Linked DNA regions of Mus musculus: region 2 is reported to be linked to region 1. Evidence: microRNA targets listed by miRTarBase, many of them from high-throughput screens and not tested one by one. Region 1 holds a microRNA gene; the other region holds the end of a gene's coding sequence.
Evidence for each region. Region 1 holds the annotated microRNA mmu-miR-32-5p (UAUUGCACAUUACUAAGUUGCA, at 3,363-3,384, opposite strand). A microRNA usually pairs through its seed, bases 2 to 8, with sites in the 3' UTR of a target mRNA and lowers its output. Matches are read on the target gene's strand: a 7mer-m8 pairs with bases 2 to 8, a 7mer-A1 pairs with bases 2 to 7 and ends in A, and an 8mer does both.

Region 2: miRTarBase lists Cd69 as a target of mmu-miR-32-5p. Seed matches in the 3' UTR shown: 8mer at 2,335-2,342 and 8mer at 2,460-2,467.

What each region holds. Positions count from the first base shown.
Region 1 is chr4:56,891,910-56,900,545 of GRCm38, forward strand. Mir32 (microRNA 32) reads right to left here and starts at 3,389; the gene lies at 3,320-3,389. Tmem245 (transmembrane protein 245) reads right to left here. Exons shown (of 18, transcript NM_001369260.1): 13 at 7,397-7,519; 14 at 7,117-7,262. Gm25053 (a small nucleolar RNA gene) reads right to left here and starts at 5,848; the gene lies at 5,717-5,848.
Region 2 is chr6:129,261,246-129,269,881 of GRCm38, reverse strand. Cd69 (CD69 antigen) reads left to right here. Exons shown (of 5, transcript NM_001033122.4): 4 at 203-306; 5 at 1,513-2,558. The coding sequence ends at 1,621. Among named protein-coding and RNA genes, the nearest start is that of Cd69, 9.8 kb to the left of the region's middle.

The sequences.
Region 1 (8,636 bases):
CGGGCTTTCTGCAAAGATTCCCAGGAGGGAAGCTCCTAGAGCACAAGTGAGATCTGTGGTCCAGTGACGGTCATGCAACAGTACTCTGGCACATGCTATCAATGAATACTTCTCCATCTGCAAAACCTTTGCCAACTTTACCAACGGTGTCACTCAAGAATGCGTCATGTGACTCGCTCAACATGGACCCAGATTTAAATACATCAAAAAGACAGAAAGGAGAGGAGATAGCCAATAGGAAACAAAGGAATTGAAAAGTCTAAGGAAAAGAAATGATAGGGAAACATAGATAAGCAGAGAGAGAGAATGGCTGGCCTGGAAAAGACAAGAGGCGAGGCTTAGTAGGCTTAAGGGGCAGTAGTCCAATTAGAGGAGGGGACAGGATACCCTCCAAGGGCAAGCATGGAAAGGAAGGGGAAGGTGACTGTTCTCGGAGACCTGAGGACACCGCCACATCAGCCAAGGAGAGGCCATGGAATCCCTTCTACATTAGAGAAAATCAGAGTGCAGCCTCCTCAGAGACCACTGGAAAGGGAAGCTGGGGAGGGAGGAAGAGTAACCACATGAACTACTAGGGTGAGGAATTTGTCTAGTGTGGAAAGGTGGCTTTCGTTAGCCTCACCTCATTTACAAGTTTTTCATAGTAAAAGTAAGTTGGCACTAAGGACACAATAAAGTAACTCAACTGAGGCTCCCCAAAGATGACTCAAACATCAGCTCACCCCAAAACAGACCACTTATGGGATGAGCACAGCCTTTCTTTCTACCCTGAGCTGGGGTTATCTTTCCTCTGCACCCTTTCCCCTGATAATCCTAAGAATATCTGTAGTGAGTGGCACTAAAAGAGTGTGTGCTTCAAGCCTCACTCACACAACCATGTTTCTAAACTGAAGAAGAAACAAGACAACTTCAATCCCTCAACCTGCTCTGGATGAAGTGAAACCAGAAGCAAGTTACAGAGTGAGCAGGACAGTCACGGCTCAGACAGGCTTGGGGGACAAAGTACCACAAGCCAGACAAGGAGGAAGTACGCGTCTCAGGAAGAAAGGAAACAGAAAATGAGTCGAGTCCAAAACCCCACCTACCTCACATTTCTGTACATTACTTCCACCCTTCCTCTCTAAAGACCTCTCTAAAGATAGGCTGAGCACCAGACTATCCTCTCCCCAGAAAACAATGGCACCATCAACGAAGAGGGCCCCTGAGCAGCAACAGACAGTGTCTACCATGCTGACTAGGGACGGTGCCAGCTCCCTTGATCACAGGTATACCACTGTCCCTTCAAATTCATATACTGTGCAGAAATTCTAGTTTCAACAAATTGAAGTTTGAGTCAACCCAGAATGTAGGCAGTCTACCAGACTCCTTTTTCCAACAACTTAGCTGATCATTAATGTATTTTTAGCAAAATATTTTAATTTGTGTATATATAGTTATATTAAAGAGGCAATGCTATTGCACACTTCATAAACTACAGGTTAAACATACACTTTAGAGGTAGGAGGGAAATCCAAAGCACCCTATGTCAGATTTATTGCAGTATCAATAGGCCAACAGTCTGGAAGCACATGCCCAGTATCTTCTAGTTATCGCTTGGATACCTAACCTCCCTTCCATCACAGATCCTTCACCCTCCCCCCTCTCCCGCTTCACCTTACTCAATGAAAAGCTACATATAAGACAACGTTTTTAAAGGCTATTTTCCTTTAAACGTAATAAAAACAAACATTCAAGTATATTACACTAACCTCTAACCACTCAGCTAAAAGGCATTATTACTCCAGTTAATTTCCCAAAGTATGCATAAGAAATTCTATTACAATGCTAGGATTCTCAAATATTCCACTTTTTTGGGGCGTGGGGGGGTGTCTTGATAGATAGCTCAAACTAACCTTAAACTCTCTACGTAGTTCAAACTGGCCTAGAACTTACAGCAATCCTCCTGCCTCAGGCTCTCAAATGCTAGGATTATAGGCATGTGCCACTACAAGCAGCTCAAAAACACCTTTTTTTTTTTGTTTGTTTAAATAACTTTATGCTGGGTGGTAGTGGCGGCACATGTCTTTAATCCCAACACGGGAAACAGAGACAGGTGAGTCTCTGAGTTCAAGGTCAGCCTAGTATAGGCATGTTTTTGTGTAATATGTAAAGATTATCCTTGTATCTTAGGGTTTCCATTGCTGTGAAGAGACACCATGACCAATGCAACTCTTATAAAGAAAAATATTTAATTGGGGCTGGCTTACAGGTTCAGACCATTATCATCATGGTGGGAAGCATGGCAGTGACCAAGCACGCAAGGCGCTGGAGGAGTTCTACATCTTATTCCAAAGGCAAACAGGAGACCATTGTCTCCCACATGGCTAGGAGGGTCTCAAAGCCCACTTCCACAGTGGGCACTCCCTTCAACAAGGCCATACCTACTCCAGCAAGACCACACCTCCTAATAGAGGCACTCCCTGAGCCAAGCATATGCAAACTATTCTCTTCCTTGTAAGTAAATGCTGATCACCCAATGGCTGGGCATAAGACAGAATAGGGTGGGGTTTCTGCTAGTCAAGGGGGGAGGGGGGGAAGGAAAGACACACACACAACACACATACACGGGGTAGGGGGTATTCAGAGAAGGAAGAAAGTTCTTGAGAGTTCAACAGAAACATGAGAAGCATAATTTCAAGTATTATTGTGATTCTTGGCTGGCGGTAGCCAGATTAGCTTAGGGGAGGAGATTAAGACAGACTGCCTAGATATTGAGGTGAAGTTTAAAAATAATTCTTGGTGTCTCTGTGTTATTATTGGGAACTAACTAGGATAAAGAAACTCAGCCGCTGTATTAATTTACCACTTAAGTTTATATTAAAAACAGCACTTACAGCCTTTTCTACAGAGGGAGTTCAAGGACAATGATAGCCAGGGCTACACAGAGAAGCCATCTCTCAACCGAACTGGGGGGGGGGGGGGGGGGAGGGAGGGAGGGAGAGACAGACAGAGATCTTTATATTTGTTACTGCACATTTTACTTTAAACAAGTATTACTTACATCTTTAAATCTCTAAGAATTTTGTTCAGTCAACAATACACTCAAATTAGAAAATGAAAACATTAATTTACTTAAGAAGCAACCCTAACTTTTTAAAAATAACTAAAACATTTTTATTTTCTTCAGAACTGGGTGAAGAAGTAGAACATGGCCATTCTCGGAATCAAACCTTACAAAGCATTCATCCTCACATGAAACTCAGCACCAGTTCAGCCCTCCAGCATGGAAAAGCTCTAATCCCAGCAAGCAAGACCCAGACCCGTGTGCATGCACTCATGTGAAAATATCACACACACTAAATTGCATTGAGGCCGTGACAACATGCAACTTAGTAATGTGCAATATCTCCACCAGAGCAAGCAGAGGGAACCTCGGGGAGAAGGGTGTGACGTGTGCATTCAGGAGACAGCATGCTCTAAGGGAAGCCAATGCTGGGGATCCAGGATGCATGCCACTACCTCAAAATCCTGAGATGAAATGAAAACTCAGTGACAAATGCACTCCGTTTAGAATAACAGGAACTTAAAATTAAAATAAGGTTCAAAATTTCAAAGTCACACACGGTAATCACAAAGGAAATCCACAGCTTAGAGGCAATCTTTAGGACACACACTTCTGTATGCCATGCAACTAACTCTCAATCTCACTCATGCCTAACTAAAGTATTATATGAAATCAACTTCATGATTTTTCATTTGACCATATACTGATGACATATTTATAAAACTGCTGTCACTGAGCACTTACAGAGAATCAACTACAATCTTTGTAATTGTTTGTTGATTAATCTTCATCCACAAAGAATCATATTTCTACTTGAACATAATCCTCCAGTATGAAAATTCTTTTTTTTCTTTCTTTCTTTTTTTTTTTTTTTTTTGAGACAGGGTTTCTCTATGTAGCCCTGGCTGTCCTGGAACTCACTCTGTAGACCAGGCTGGCCTCGAACTTAGAAATCCACCTGCCTCTGCCTCCCAAGTGCTGGGATGAAAGGCGTGCGCCATCACCACCCGGCTGAAAATTCTTTTTAAGCTTAATTTTTTTCATTTTTTATTTTTTCTTTGTGAATTTCACATCATGCACTCCAATCCCACTCATCTCCCCCCAACACCCCCAAACCCTCCCCTCCACCCTTGCAACTGCCCCTACAACAGAGTTGCTGTGGAAGCTGTAGTGTGTCCCAGTGTGTCCCACAGGACATCCTTTTGTCCACACTTCTTTGTCTGCACATGTTCATTACAATGACTTGTTGGTCTGGTACAAGTCCTCTGGCTTCTACTACTCAATCAATACTGGAACCTCACTGGGCCTCCTCTCATATACCCTGTGGTTGCCCTGTGTCATGGAGATAGGCTTTGGATCTGTAGTGCCCCTTTGTACACTCTAGCAGTTCACTGATGGGGTAGATGTTGGAGTGGGCCAATTCAAAGCCCTGGATCTGGGCCTGAGAGGTATCTGACCTGGTCAGCCCACCGGCTCTCATGCTCTGCAGCCCCACACCAGGCCCAGCTCTATCCTGCTGCCCAGGTGAGGTGCAGGGTCTGCTCTTCCAAGCGTTGCATCCAGTGAGGGGCATGGCCAGTTCTCTCACTCTCAGAATCCCAGGGCCAGCTCTCCCGTCTGCCAAAAATGAGGGAGGGGAAGTAAGGTATCTCTCCCTCCTCAACACCACCATCCAACAGGCAAGAGGCAGGGCTGGCTCTCACGCTCTCACACCCATAACCTCAGCTACCCTGGTCAGCTCTGCTGTGCCCAAGTGAGGTGCAGAGGCTGCTCTTCTGAGTGCTGCTGCTGGTGAAGGACAGGGCCAGCTCTTCTGCTCTATGACCCCAGGTCCAGGACAGGGGAGAAGGGACTCTTTCCCTCATCTAAGCAACCACAGGGAGATGAGTGGTAGGGCCAGCTGTCCCATGCTCAGGCCCAACTCACCTGCTGCTTTCCTGAGTACGGCAGCTGGCTAGGTTCAGGGATCCTACATTCATACCTCTAGAGCTAACTCTCCCACACGCCCAGGTGAAGACAGGGCCGAGCATAGCCCTCGGAGATCAACAAGGCCACAGTTGGCAGCCCAGACCAGGGATGTCTGCCTTGCTTTTGGTGGCAACATCCGTCCCAGATGTGGCCTCCAGTAGCAGCACAGGCTAGGACCCAACCATGGTCTCAGGTGGCATCACTGGCTATTCACATGAGGCTGCTCCTCATTACCCGTAATTGTCCAGTTCTGCCTCTCTTCATTGTGACCACATCCTTATTTCTCTTTGTCTTCTATTTCTCAACCACTCACTTGCTCCTCTTAGTGGCGCCTGGGTTCTCCGAGTGTCTGGGGTCGTCTCAGGAGTGGTCTCAGAAGTGCTAGGTCCCGCTCGTGCATTATGGCACCAGGCAGGGCTCATCTCAAGCATGGTCTATACCCCCAGGCCAGCGTGGCACAAGACTGGAGTTCATCTCATCTGAGACTCACTCCTCTTCCGGCCTACCCAAGTGGCGGTCTGTCTTGGGCTCACTCATGCCTGGGGCCTCTGGTCCCAGGCAGAGCTCTTCTAGTCTCCAGCTTGCTTGTCCTGGGAGCCCTTCCAGATCTGCCTGGTACAGGAATAGCAGTTGTCTCAGGTTAGCTCCCTGTCTGGGCCCTCTGGCACCAGACTGGTGGATATCTCAGGCTCACTTTTTTCAGGGAATGTTAGGCTACTAATCATTCAGATGTTCACAGGTCAGAACACTGAGCGTAGACATAGCCTCTCTCCTCTCTGCCACCTACTGACACACATGTGACACAGCAGCCACACCTGCAACGCCTGTAGGGGCAGAGGATGAAAATTCCTACTTAACTTTTAGACACAGTGCACTGACGCTTTTCTCCTGAAGACTCCTCAAAGGAGCCCATGCAAAACTCAAACATATTAAGTATTTATTACAACTTTGTAAAGGAACAGCACACAGGGCTGCAGAATGCAAAAGCCAGTCACAGTGGAAGATGGCCATCCAAACCCACCCATCAGCTTTCAGATCCAACAGGACGACAGTGCCAATGTTAAGTGACAAGGCCTAGCATGGTAGTGTGCATTCGTAATCCTAGTAACCCTAGCGTTCAGGAAACAGAGAGAGACAGGAGATATCCAGTTCAAAGCCAGCCTGGGTGGCAAAGGAAGAGTCAGGAGAGAGAGAGAGAGAGACAGAGAGAGAGACAGAGAGAGAGAGAGAGGGGGGGGGGGAGAGAAGGGGAGGGGAGGGGAGGGGATCCTGGGCTGGGGAGGGTGCAGAAGTATCTTGCATAAAAGCACCTTGATGTCAGTCAGAAAGCTGCTCCCTGTAGAAAGCGCAGTAGGGACACAGCAGAAGGTGAAGCTTCTATGAGAAGGGCAACAGTGCAAAGCTAGAGCAGAGCTGGCCTTTAAAGGATCTTCCTGGGCAATGCACCTGTCCTCCCGGACAGCTCTGCCTCAGCCAGACTGAAGACTGACCAAGATGGCTGCCAGCCTCTCAAAGGCTATTTTTATGCTACTGGGAAGAGAGGGGTTTTGTCTGTTTTGTTCCCTTTTCCTTTTAGGGTAACAATGATTACAAAAGACTTTTTAAAAAGCAGATAAACAAAAGATAACCTATTGTTGCAATTTTCATCATTAATAAAGACCTTCCCCAGGCTTCCTGAGTAGGAATGGGGAGAAAAGCTGAGGGCATTTCACACAGACACAGACAACTGTTGGGTCAGTTGAACATAACAAGAGAGACAAAACAGGAGGGTCCTGAAGTCAGAGAAGGGCCCCAGGAGGTAAAGACAATGTGGGAGGAGGAGGCGTTCTCCTGAGCAAATGCCAAGGTTATGGAAACCGGACTAAAGCCGATCTGTGAACACATATCAGGTCTTTGTAAATCACAGCAGCAGAATAGAGTGACAAACTCCTGGGAACTTTCCCTCAAAGCATGTGCTCTGCTCCTAGGACCTTCTTAAAGTAAGATAAAGGTCTTGAAAGCACTGGCATCCTTCACTACTTCCACACTGAATGTTTCTATGAATACAAGGAAGGTAACCGGGATGCCACGGGACGCTAGTAAGAACAGCATGCTCTTGTCCCTACCTGATCGCCTCTTCCACAGACTGGCCGATGATGTTAGAGGAAGGGCCTGGCTGAGAAAGTGGTGTCAGGCTGATCACCCACTTCACTGGCTTGTAGTACTCATCACTGGAACTTAACAGATAAAACAGTGTGGTCAGGAAAATTATCTGCAAAACAAAGGACAGGATCTCCTAAAAATCACATTTATGAGCGTATAAAAGCTATACATGCGCAAAAACAGAGCCCAGGAAATGCTGTAATCCATAAGGGAATACAATGGGTGCTGTCTAAATGTACCTACCAGAGACAGCACGAAGTTGAGAAGGGCAGTGCCACTGTAGAAGAGGATGGTCAGCAGGGTGGTGACTGTGGTGAACAGCAGGCTCACGTTCCGGCTCATAACAATCCACAGAGACTCCAGGATCTGACGGAGAGGGACAGCTGGGGTCAACACAAATCCTCATAAAGGGGACAGCCGTAGCCACACAGTGTGCTTTTAGGGCACTGTCTTACTAGCCATAGTGGAAAACGTAAAAACTGCTGCCTGCTTTATAAGCAGAAAAAAATCCCAAAACATCTAGTTCAATAGTAAAGAAAATGGCTAAGTAGTTATAATGAATCCACTCCAAATAACACTTAAAATAGTACCGCAACTATCATAGACATTTCACTCTATTATGCTGGTTTTATTTGGTTAGTTTGGTTTCTCAAAACTGAGTTTCTCTGTGGAGCAGCCCTGGCTACCCTGGAACTCCCTTTATAGACCTGGCTGGCCTCGAACTTACAGAGATTTATTTGCCTCTGCCTCCCACATGCTGGGATTAAAGGTATGCACAACCATGGCCAGCTTCTATTATGCTCTCTTTAAAACACAGGATTTTTATATATTCTATGAATTTTAACTATAAAAACAGAATATATGTATGTCTACAGAAGAATACGTGATCTCTCTGTGGATCTATTTACTTTGGAGGGCTGTAAGTGTAGGTCACGCATTAGATTAGCTAACTACCCTCTATCCTTTCCATCTCTAACTCTGATTCAACTATAAATATAATGTATTATTCCAAAGTCTTGAAATCAACAATGAAAATAATGAAGAGGCAAGGATCAATGACAGAGCCTTTCCTGGGACAGACTAAGCTCACTATCACCTATAAATTGAAGAGAAGCAGTTATCAAGTTGGTTGTGTACACTGTTGGTAAAACATGAGCAAAGAGAGATGTCAATGTCTTCTCAGGTCTCCGTTTCATTTCTTGTGCCTTCATCAACTAAAACCCCTTATAATGTCTGTTCTTCCCAAGTGGGTCCCTCCTCCTAACGAAACAGGAACCAAAAGGGTCAGGAGGACGAGTTCTGCCAGCTACTGAATGTTCCCAGGACAGTGCTGTGAGGGAAGCAATGTGGATAGCTTTATAGACACGAGCTCAGTCACAAAGGGTTGCTGCAGCTAGCACCAGAACCCTGACATCTGCAGTTCTCTTTGGTACCTTTCTAAGGCAGTAGCTCTGGTCCAGTCGCATGCTCATATTATGACATG
Region 2 (8,636 bases), not on the chromosome of region 1:
CTTAGTCGTGGAGGCAGGGAGCACTGTATGAACAATTAAAAAGGTCAAAATGATAGTCTGCTGTATAGTCTCCCAGTGTGGTTTGATTGCTTAGTTTCAGAGACCAACAATTCAGATGAGCTGATGCCATGCACAGCTAGCAACAATCAACTTAGTGATGATGCTCAGTCATGTTTGTAACCTGACTCCATTTTGCTTTAAGACGTTTCTGAAGCGATATTCTGGTGAACTGGAACATTGGATTGGGCTGAAAAATGAAGCTAATCAGACATGGAAATGGGCAAATGGCAAAGAATTTAACAGCTGGTAAGTTGCAAGAAAACTCACTGTCCTCTCTAGGCTGACACTTTTTTTTTAAGACATAGATTCCTTTTCTTCTTTCTTCTTCTTCTTCTTCTTTTTTTTTTTAACATTTCCTTCCTTCTCTTCTTTCTAAGTTCCATTGTTCATGGTGGTTCAGTTCTTCCTCACACAGCTCCCATCACTGCTTTTATGCGTATTATGCTCTTTGGAATTATTGAGAGTCATCCTTTACTGTTAGTAACTCCGTCGCATCACTTAACTTTGTCTTAGCAAAACACTAGTGTGAGCAGTAGTAGCCTTAGTGAGTTTGACACAGACTCAGGACACTTCTCGTGAAGGGCGGTGAAGTAGTTGCTGGGAAAGAATTCCCTGCTTCAATTCCATTTCCCAGTTTTCATCCCTATAGGGACAAAGGGCAATAGTTTAGTGCCTAATAATAAGTATCTGAATCTATGGAAAATTCACACATACCCCCAGCAATAAAGACACTGTCACTACCTATTACTAAGTCAGACTTCACGTTTTGAGGAACATTCTATAAGTTTAGTGTTGATCTTTACACTATGTAAACTCTGAGTTGAATAAATTTCTCACTCTCTTAACATTTCTATAATGTCTGATACAATTATCAGTATTAAAAATCTATATTTCTGAATTAGTCACAGAGTTACATGCTTTTAGTTTCAGCACCCAAAAGGCAGAGGGAGGTGAATTTCTGCAAACCCAAGACTAACCTAGTCTAATAGTGAAACCCTCTTTCAAAAACAAACAAATTGCATTTCTGGTAAAGGGACTTTTGGCATGTGGCCCAATGGCTAGGCTACCAAGGAATACAAGAAAACCACTGATGGTCTAAATAAAATATCAGTATTTGGTGAAATTACCTATGATCATTCCCTAAGCCCCTAAACTGTGCTTTTTGAAGGATCTATGGGGGAAATATGATAATGAATTTTGCTGGAATGCCCATTAAAATCAGAAAAATAGAGCCTTTAGCTTTGCCTACTTTCTCTACCAATAATCCCCTCCCAGTGTTTTCTGTTGCCTCTACACATTAAACCACGGCTACTTGGCTGGATGTCTTGTGTTTTGTGCTTCCTACTCAGGGAGCAAACAGAAAAGGCAGAGGCCCCTGCAAAGTTGACTGTCGTGTAACTGGCTAGAAATGATGGGCTGGAAATAAATCTGAGTGTCTCTATGGCTTGACAGGTTCAACTTGACGGGGTCTGGGAGGTGCGTGTCCGTGAACCACAAAAATGTTACCGCTGTGGACTGTGAGGCAAACTTCCACTGGGTCTGCAGCAAGCCCTCCAGATGACGAGGATACATAGATGTATAAATGACTGTGCCATAGCACCACAGGAAAGTTGTGTAACTGGATACTGCTCTGCAGTTGAATTTTCCACAAAGACTGCACAAACCAACTTTACATCATCCTGGATCAACTCCAGATAGAACTGTGGGACATGAGGAAGAAGATCCAGGAAGATCCCTTGACCAGGAGCTGAAACTGTCACCAACTGACTGCTAATCACATCAAGGATGAGAGGATGGCTATGAAGCCTCATCAACGCACTTTATTTTTTTTTAAACCTAGAATGAATAGAACTGACTAGCTCTAGAGTTACTATTTATTGCCGAATGACTGCTACAGCCAGTGCCTTTACGCATTTGCACTATTTGGAGGGGTTTCAGTGGTAGGAAGAGCTGAATGTAGGTACAGGAAGATTTGACTGATTAATGATTTTCTTAAATTCAAAAAGCATTCACAAATAGAACAATGCTTATGAAACCAAGCTTTGCAGTAACTCCATCTATTTACAGAAACTTTGCCTCATTATTTTGTCAATTGTTCTCCCCCAAAGAATAAGAGTGGCCTTTTCTTTAACTTCCTCCGTGTAGACAGCTAATTTTCAATGGTACATATTTCTTAACCTTTAAAAACCTCTGTAGCGTATTTCAAGGAAGAAAACAAAAGCACAGCATATGAGTAATATTTGTAGAGCAGATTTCAAAGTGCTGGAAAGAAAAGTGCAATACGTGTAGTGGCAGATCTCTGTCAGGACACACCCTGTGGTTTGACCTTGGAATAACTCCAGTCTTGTCACATAACCTGTTTGTGTCTTTCCCAGTCCTTTGTCCAAAATATTTCCCATGTGCAATAAAGTGTTTATATATTTGTTTGTGTTTTAAAACCCACTATAAAGTTTAAGCTGTTTCTATGTATGTGAAAATAAAAGAATAGATAAATGGTTTCCAGCGGTTCTCATTCAAACTGCATTCAAAGTACCGTGTTATAGCATCAAACTGCCTTCCAGGAAGGGGGGTCTCAAAACCTTTAGATTAGTGAAGTTCACAAACCTCACCAGAGAAGAGTCTTTGTGCAGTGGCCAGTGGTCAATGCAAGGTCTCCAAACTAGTCAGAGCATGGAGAATTGGAGGCTGTGAAGTGCACAGCCACAAAATAAGAACTCTCCCCAAAAAGGTGCAGGAAATATCATGGAAGCCAGGGCAGCAAAACTGTAAGATCCAGAGGTCAGGGAGGACTGGGTAAGAAACATCTTCTGGGCTTGAGAGAACCATTGCACTCATGAATTTATAGCCACAAGACCTGCACAGAATCAAGCCAGGCAACATCCCCACAGGATGGAAGAAGAGCAAGGGCATCCTCACTCCTACCTGAGAAGCTATTGACAGTCAATAGCTACTAGGAGAGAAGCAGACAGTTCTTATTCCCAAGTATGTCCCCAGTAATTGACTGTGCTCCAGTGAATGACCCCATATCCATGCATTATGAACAGCATTAATTGGTGAATTAATTGTGAATTAGCAGCATTAATTGGACTCAATGGGATTTATAAAAAGAAAAGGACATGAAGTTTGGAGGAGTTGGAGGACAAGGTGGTGGTGAATATGATTGGAACACTTTGCATACATGTATGAAATTCTCAAAGAATAGCAGCAAGTTATACCATATTGGAAAACAGAGAACAGTAGAACGCCTACTAAAAGTCTTCCACAATGCAAAACCCTAGTCTTATTAACACACATTCATGCCAAAAGGATACACTCATTTTTGCATATATCAGATGCTCTGAATCTCAACATATCCAAGGTTCTGAAAACATTTTGTTCAACTCTGTTCTGAAAACATCTTTCTCACTATATACTTTATTCACACACACTAATTCATGTAGTATATGTGGGTCATGGATGCCTTCAAGGGCTACTCCATCAGGGAAAATCTTTGATCACTCCCAGAATGAATGCTGCAATAACATCCTTTTGTGATGCCTGAATACAAGTGTTTTATATATATATAGTGCTCACCCTTATGATATATAGAAAAGAAACATGGATTTAGAGTTTCTTCTTAATGAAAAATAACATGAAGTTTACTGGCCACTGAGAGTCTCAGTTCCATAGCTACAGAATGAAGCAGGTGGCCTCCTCACTTAAATATTCTATCATTAATAACCACAGCCCCGTCCTGACTCATGTTGAAAAACAGACTTGTGATCTGCATGGTGTGGATGTGTAAGTGGAAACACTGCTGTTGAGAGCCACAGGATGAGAGACAGCTGACCCGAGTCTTACTTCTGCCATCCAGTGGATCATGAGTTAACCTTTAGATTTAATTAGAGATTGAGTTGAAACTAATAAGAAACGTATGCAAAATGACCTTAAAACACCACCAAAAGCTCAGAGTAGTCATGTGATATATCAGCTATTGATAATTTTACATGTGAAACACTATGTCCACAAATTTTTTGTATTGTATAAAGTATTACTTATTCAAAGCATGCCTACTTCTACATAGCATACATAGGTTACATGTAGTAGCATACATTTAGTAGTAGAATTAAAATATCCAGCCACTACCTGATACAAGTGTGTAGAGTTTATATCCACATGTGAAACAGGCAATAAAATAAATTGTTATGTAATGGATGTGACAGAAAATATGTATGTTGCTATCAAAACCCTTTTGAAGTACAGAACTCTTTTTTTCTTTCTTTTTTTTTTAACTATGGTCAAACTTTTGGATAATTTCACAATAAATCTTATAAGCTACACTCACCTTAAGTGACTGCAATAATATAAGCTGAGGAAAACTATCAGTGTTTTGTGTCTTATTTCAATTTTTTCCAGAATAATTTTATTTTCTTCCTTCTCAGCCATAGGAATAAATGGTAGACATGAACTGTCCTTGAAAGGAAAGGTACCACTGAAATGTTAGTATTTAAAGCTTTGTCAATATTGAATCTGTGAAGTTCCCCCATGGCTCATAGCACTTGCTAAGCAACTCTAACCACCAGAGTTCAGTCCCCAGAGCCCAAGGTAGAAGGAGAGAACTGACTTCCAAAAGTTGTCCTCTGACCTCCACACATGAAAAATAAATATTTTGCAACATTAGTATATTAATGTTCTTTTATAAACTGATCCTCCCATTTCATCACTCCAGCTTGAGTATATAACTGAAATGAAAATGAACATGAATCTCTAGGGGTCTTGTGTTGAAAAGGTACAGCTAAAAAGACAGCTGGAGGCAGTGTGATTTAGCTCAGCTTAACTTCTAGAAGCAATTTACCAAAAATATGGAATAGTAAATACATTTTTCTGTGATATGACTACTTTGGAGAAAGAGAAAATTAAAACAAATAATCTTTGATGTGCAAGGTCAATTTCTAGCAGTAAAATTCAGGAAGCACTTAATTCTCCAAATGCAATATAATGTGATTCTGCTACTCAACATTAAGAGATGATAATGAGGGCTAGCAAGATGGCTCCATGCCCCACAGCAAGTGTGTGTGAGCACACATATATCATATACAACATAATAAATAAATTATAATTACCTTAAGTGTAAATACCTTAATCACCTTTTCCAAACACAAAGACAAAACCTTTTCCCCAAATCAGCATATTCTTCATCCGGTAACCAGGAAAACCTGTAGCTTGCTCTCTGTCCCAGAGGAACAATAAAACCACCACAATACTCAAAATCACACACATTTTAGCCTATTTAGGCCTTTCTAATTTGTCATGTCAGGATTTAAACCCAAAATTCCCTTGGAGCCCACATTAGACAGAATATGAGTCTCCTGCAGACTTTATTATACCATCTTTAAAACAATTAATTCACACTTCTATTTTCCTTTCCTTTTCCTCTCCTCTCCTCTCCTCTCCTCTCCTCTCCTCTCCTCTCCTCTCCTCTCCTCTCCTCTCCTCTCCTCTCCTCTCCTCTCCTCTCCTCTCCTCTCCCCTCCCCTCCCCTCCCCTCCCCTCCCCTCCCCTCCCCTCCCCTCTCCTCTCCTCTCCTCTCCTCTCCTCTCCTTTCTATATCTGCTTATAAGAAACAGCTTGTCAAACCAGGATTTAAACCCAAAATTCCCATGGAGTCCACGTTAGATACAATATGAGTATCCTGTAAGATTTATTAGAGTGCTCTCAAACTTGAGCCACAGACATTTATTTAATTAATCTCCATTATAATATCTATCTGTTATGCTCTCTACCTGGAGCCACAGACTTCTATTAAATAATACCTGCTCATAGCAGGTGATTATCACTGCTCTCTCTACTTGGAGTCAGTGACTAATATTCCCTATCTAATTCCGGACATGAAATTTCTCATAACTAATAAGCTCTCTGCCTAGAGCAGCCATCCTGTCTGTTGTGCTCTCTACCAGAAGCTGCAGACATTTATTTAATTAATACCTATTATAATATCTATCTGTTATGCTCTTTACCTAGAGCCACAGACTTCTATTAATTTTGTTGTGGTAAATCTCCAACCCAAATAGGCCCGAGCAATGAAAACACAACACAGTTAAAATGAATATATGCCGTGCACCTAGATTGGGCAGATCTACTGCTACACTACCATCTTCCACATCTATGAGACCCCTTAGAACTTGTGGTTTCTCCAGGCCATGTGCTTCTGCTCTGCTTTTCTTCTTCCTCCTCCTCTTCTGTGTCCTCTTCCTTTTCCAATATTATCTTCTCTCTCTCACTTTCTGTTCCACCTTCCCTTTTATCTGACCAATCATTAGCTCTCCTTTATTTTACAAATTAAGGTGGGAAGCAGGTTTACAGGAAATTACCTGAGTGCTTACCCCCCAGTCCCAAACCTAGGGAACTTTAATGAAGAAAATGTGTATATATGAAATGTTGGGGACCTTCCTGGCAATACAGTTTCCTGGGGAAGGTAGCAATGGGGGTGTTGCCCTTTGAAGTGGCAAAACTTGCAATTACAAAGGCAAAAATAGCTTACTTTTTGGTAATTTTTTTTCTATCATTAACTCTTTGCTAGCTTAAGACCAAAAATTGCCAGCTTCTAGTGATTAACACTGTTTAATTAACAATGTTTAGCAGTGGAGAATTAAGTAAAGGATCTCTTGCTAGGGCTCCTTTCCCTGGTCAGCCAGCCAGGAGTCTCTTGCTGGCCAGACAAGAAGCTCTGAGCTTGTTAACTCTTTGTGGACTACTTAGACAAGAGAAGAAAATAAAATCTTTTACACAGGCAATATGCATAGGTATACACACATTCATATACACATACACACAGACTCACACACACACACAAGCTGGACCCCACCATTTGTCTCATCAACTCCACAAGTGTTCCTGTACCAGTGGCCTCCAATGGCACCAGTTCTTTGAAAAAGGCAGCCAAGGGATATGGAGTCAGTGGAGAGACCGAAGTTTATTTATCTTTGGCAATCCTTCTGTCAATAATTCTTTGCTATTTTAAGGCCAAAAGCCATTGGTTTCTGGTAATAAACACTTTCTGTTAGCATCATAAGATTAGGGGGAAAAAAAGAGAGAGAAAGCTTAATTGTTAGGGTTCCCTTCTATCTCACTCAAAGGAGCCCTTGCTCGCCGGGTGAGAGGCTTGCTAACTCTTTTTGAGCCAGAGAGAGAAGAAAGGAAAGGAAAAGAGTCACTCACACACACACACACACACACACATACTGAGTGAAACAGAAAACAGTTACACCACCTTTCTTTTATTGCTTTCAGCTTCTTATAGCTTTTAGACAAAAAGTAATCTATGTAAGAAAGAATTACCTCATATATAAAATATTAAAAATAAAGGAAAATAATTAAAATCCTTTACACATTTAAATATGCATAGACATACACACATTTACACACACATGTATTTTGGTTAGGCATGGTCATCTGTCTCAATCAACTCCACTAGTATTCACGCATGCTTGCATATTCCTACACATGTATATGTGTACACACACACACACACACACACACACACACACACACATACACACACACACACACACACACCACACACACCACAACTGGATGAATGGACAGATGGATGGGGCAGAGCCTCCCAAGCCAACAACCTTATTTCATACCTTCTTAGACAAAAGTTCTTCAGAAAATTACCTCATATATAAGATGTTACATAAAATGGGAGCTATAGACGGATGTTGATAAGTTCAAAGCAGTACTTCATTTGCAACAGTGTACTTTGCCTTACAGAAACTTTGCAGTTTCCTGAAGTTCCACTTATCAGTTGCTGATCTTGGAACCTGAGCTGTTGGTGTTCTGGAGATGGGAACAACCTAAATGACCTTCAATTGAAGAATAGATAAAGAAAAGGTGGTACATCTACACAATGGACTACTACTATTCAGCTAAGGAAAAAAAAAAAAAAAAGACATCATGAATTTTGCAGGCAAATGGATGGAACTTGAGAATCTTATCCTGAGTGAGGTAACCAGGTCCCAAAAGCACATGCATGGTATGTATCTACTTATAAGTGGATATTAGCCATGAAGTGCAGAGTACTCATGCTACATTCCACAGACTTAAGGAGGCTGGACAGGAAGGAAGGCACAAATGAGGATGCTTAAGTCTCACTTGGAAGGGGGAGTGGAATAGTCATGGAAGGCATATGGAGAGAGGGAACTGGGTGGGAGAGGGGATCAGGAGGGAAGTGGAGAAGTCTAGGGTCAGGGCAAGAGGATGGCTGGATGGCCATGAGAATGAATGGTAATTTGCAACTGATGGGGGGTGGACTAGGTAGGGGGCATTTCCAGGAAGAGACAGAGACTTGTAATAGGGGAGGCACCCAAGAATCAGTGGTGGTGTCCTTAGCTGTGATTCATAGCATTAGGAATATGGAGCCTAGGGAGGCTGCCTCTTGTGGCTAGGCAGGAACCATGGGGGAGCAATAGGGACACCAACCCACCCACAAACTTTTGACCCAACACTTTTCCTATCTACAGGAAATGCAGGAATTGGTGATAGAGCCGAGACTGAGAACAGCCAACCAATAACTGTCCAACTAGAGATCTATC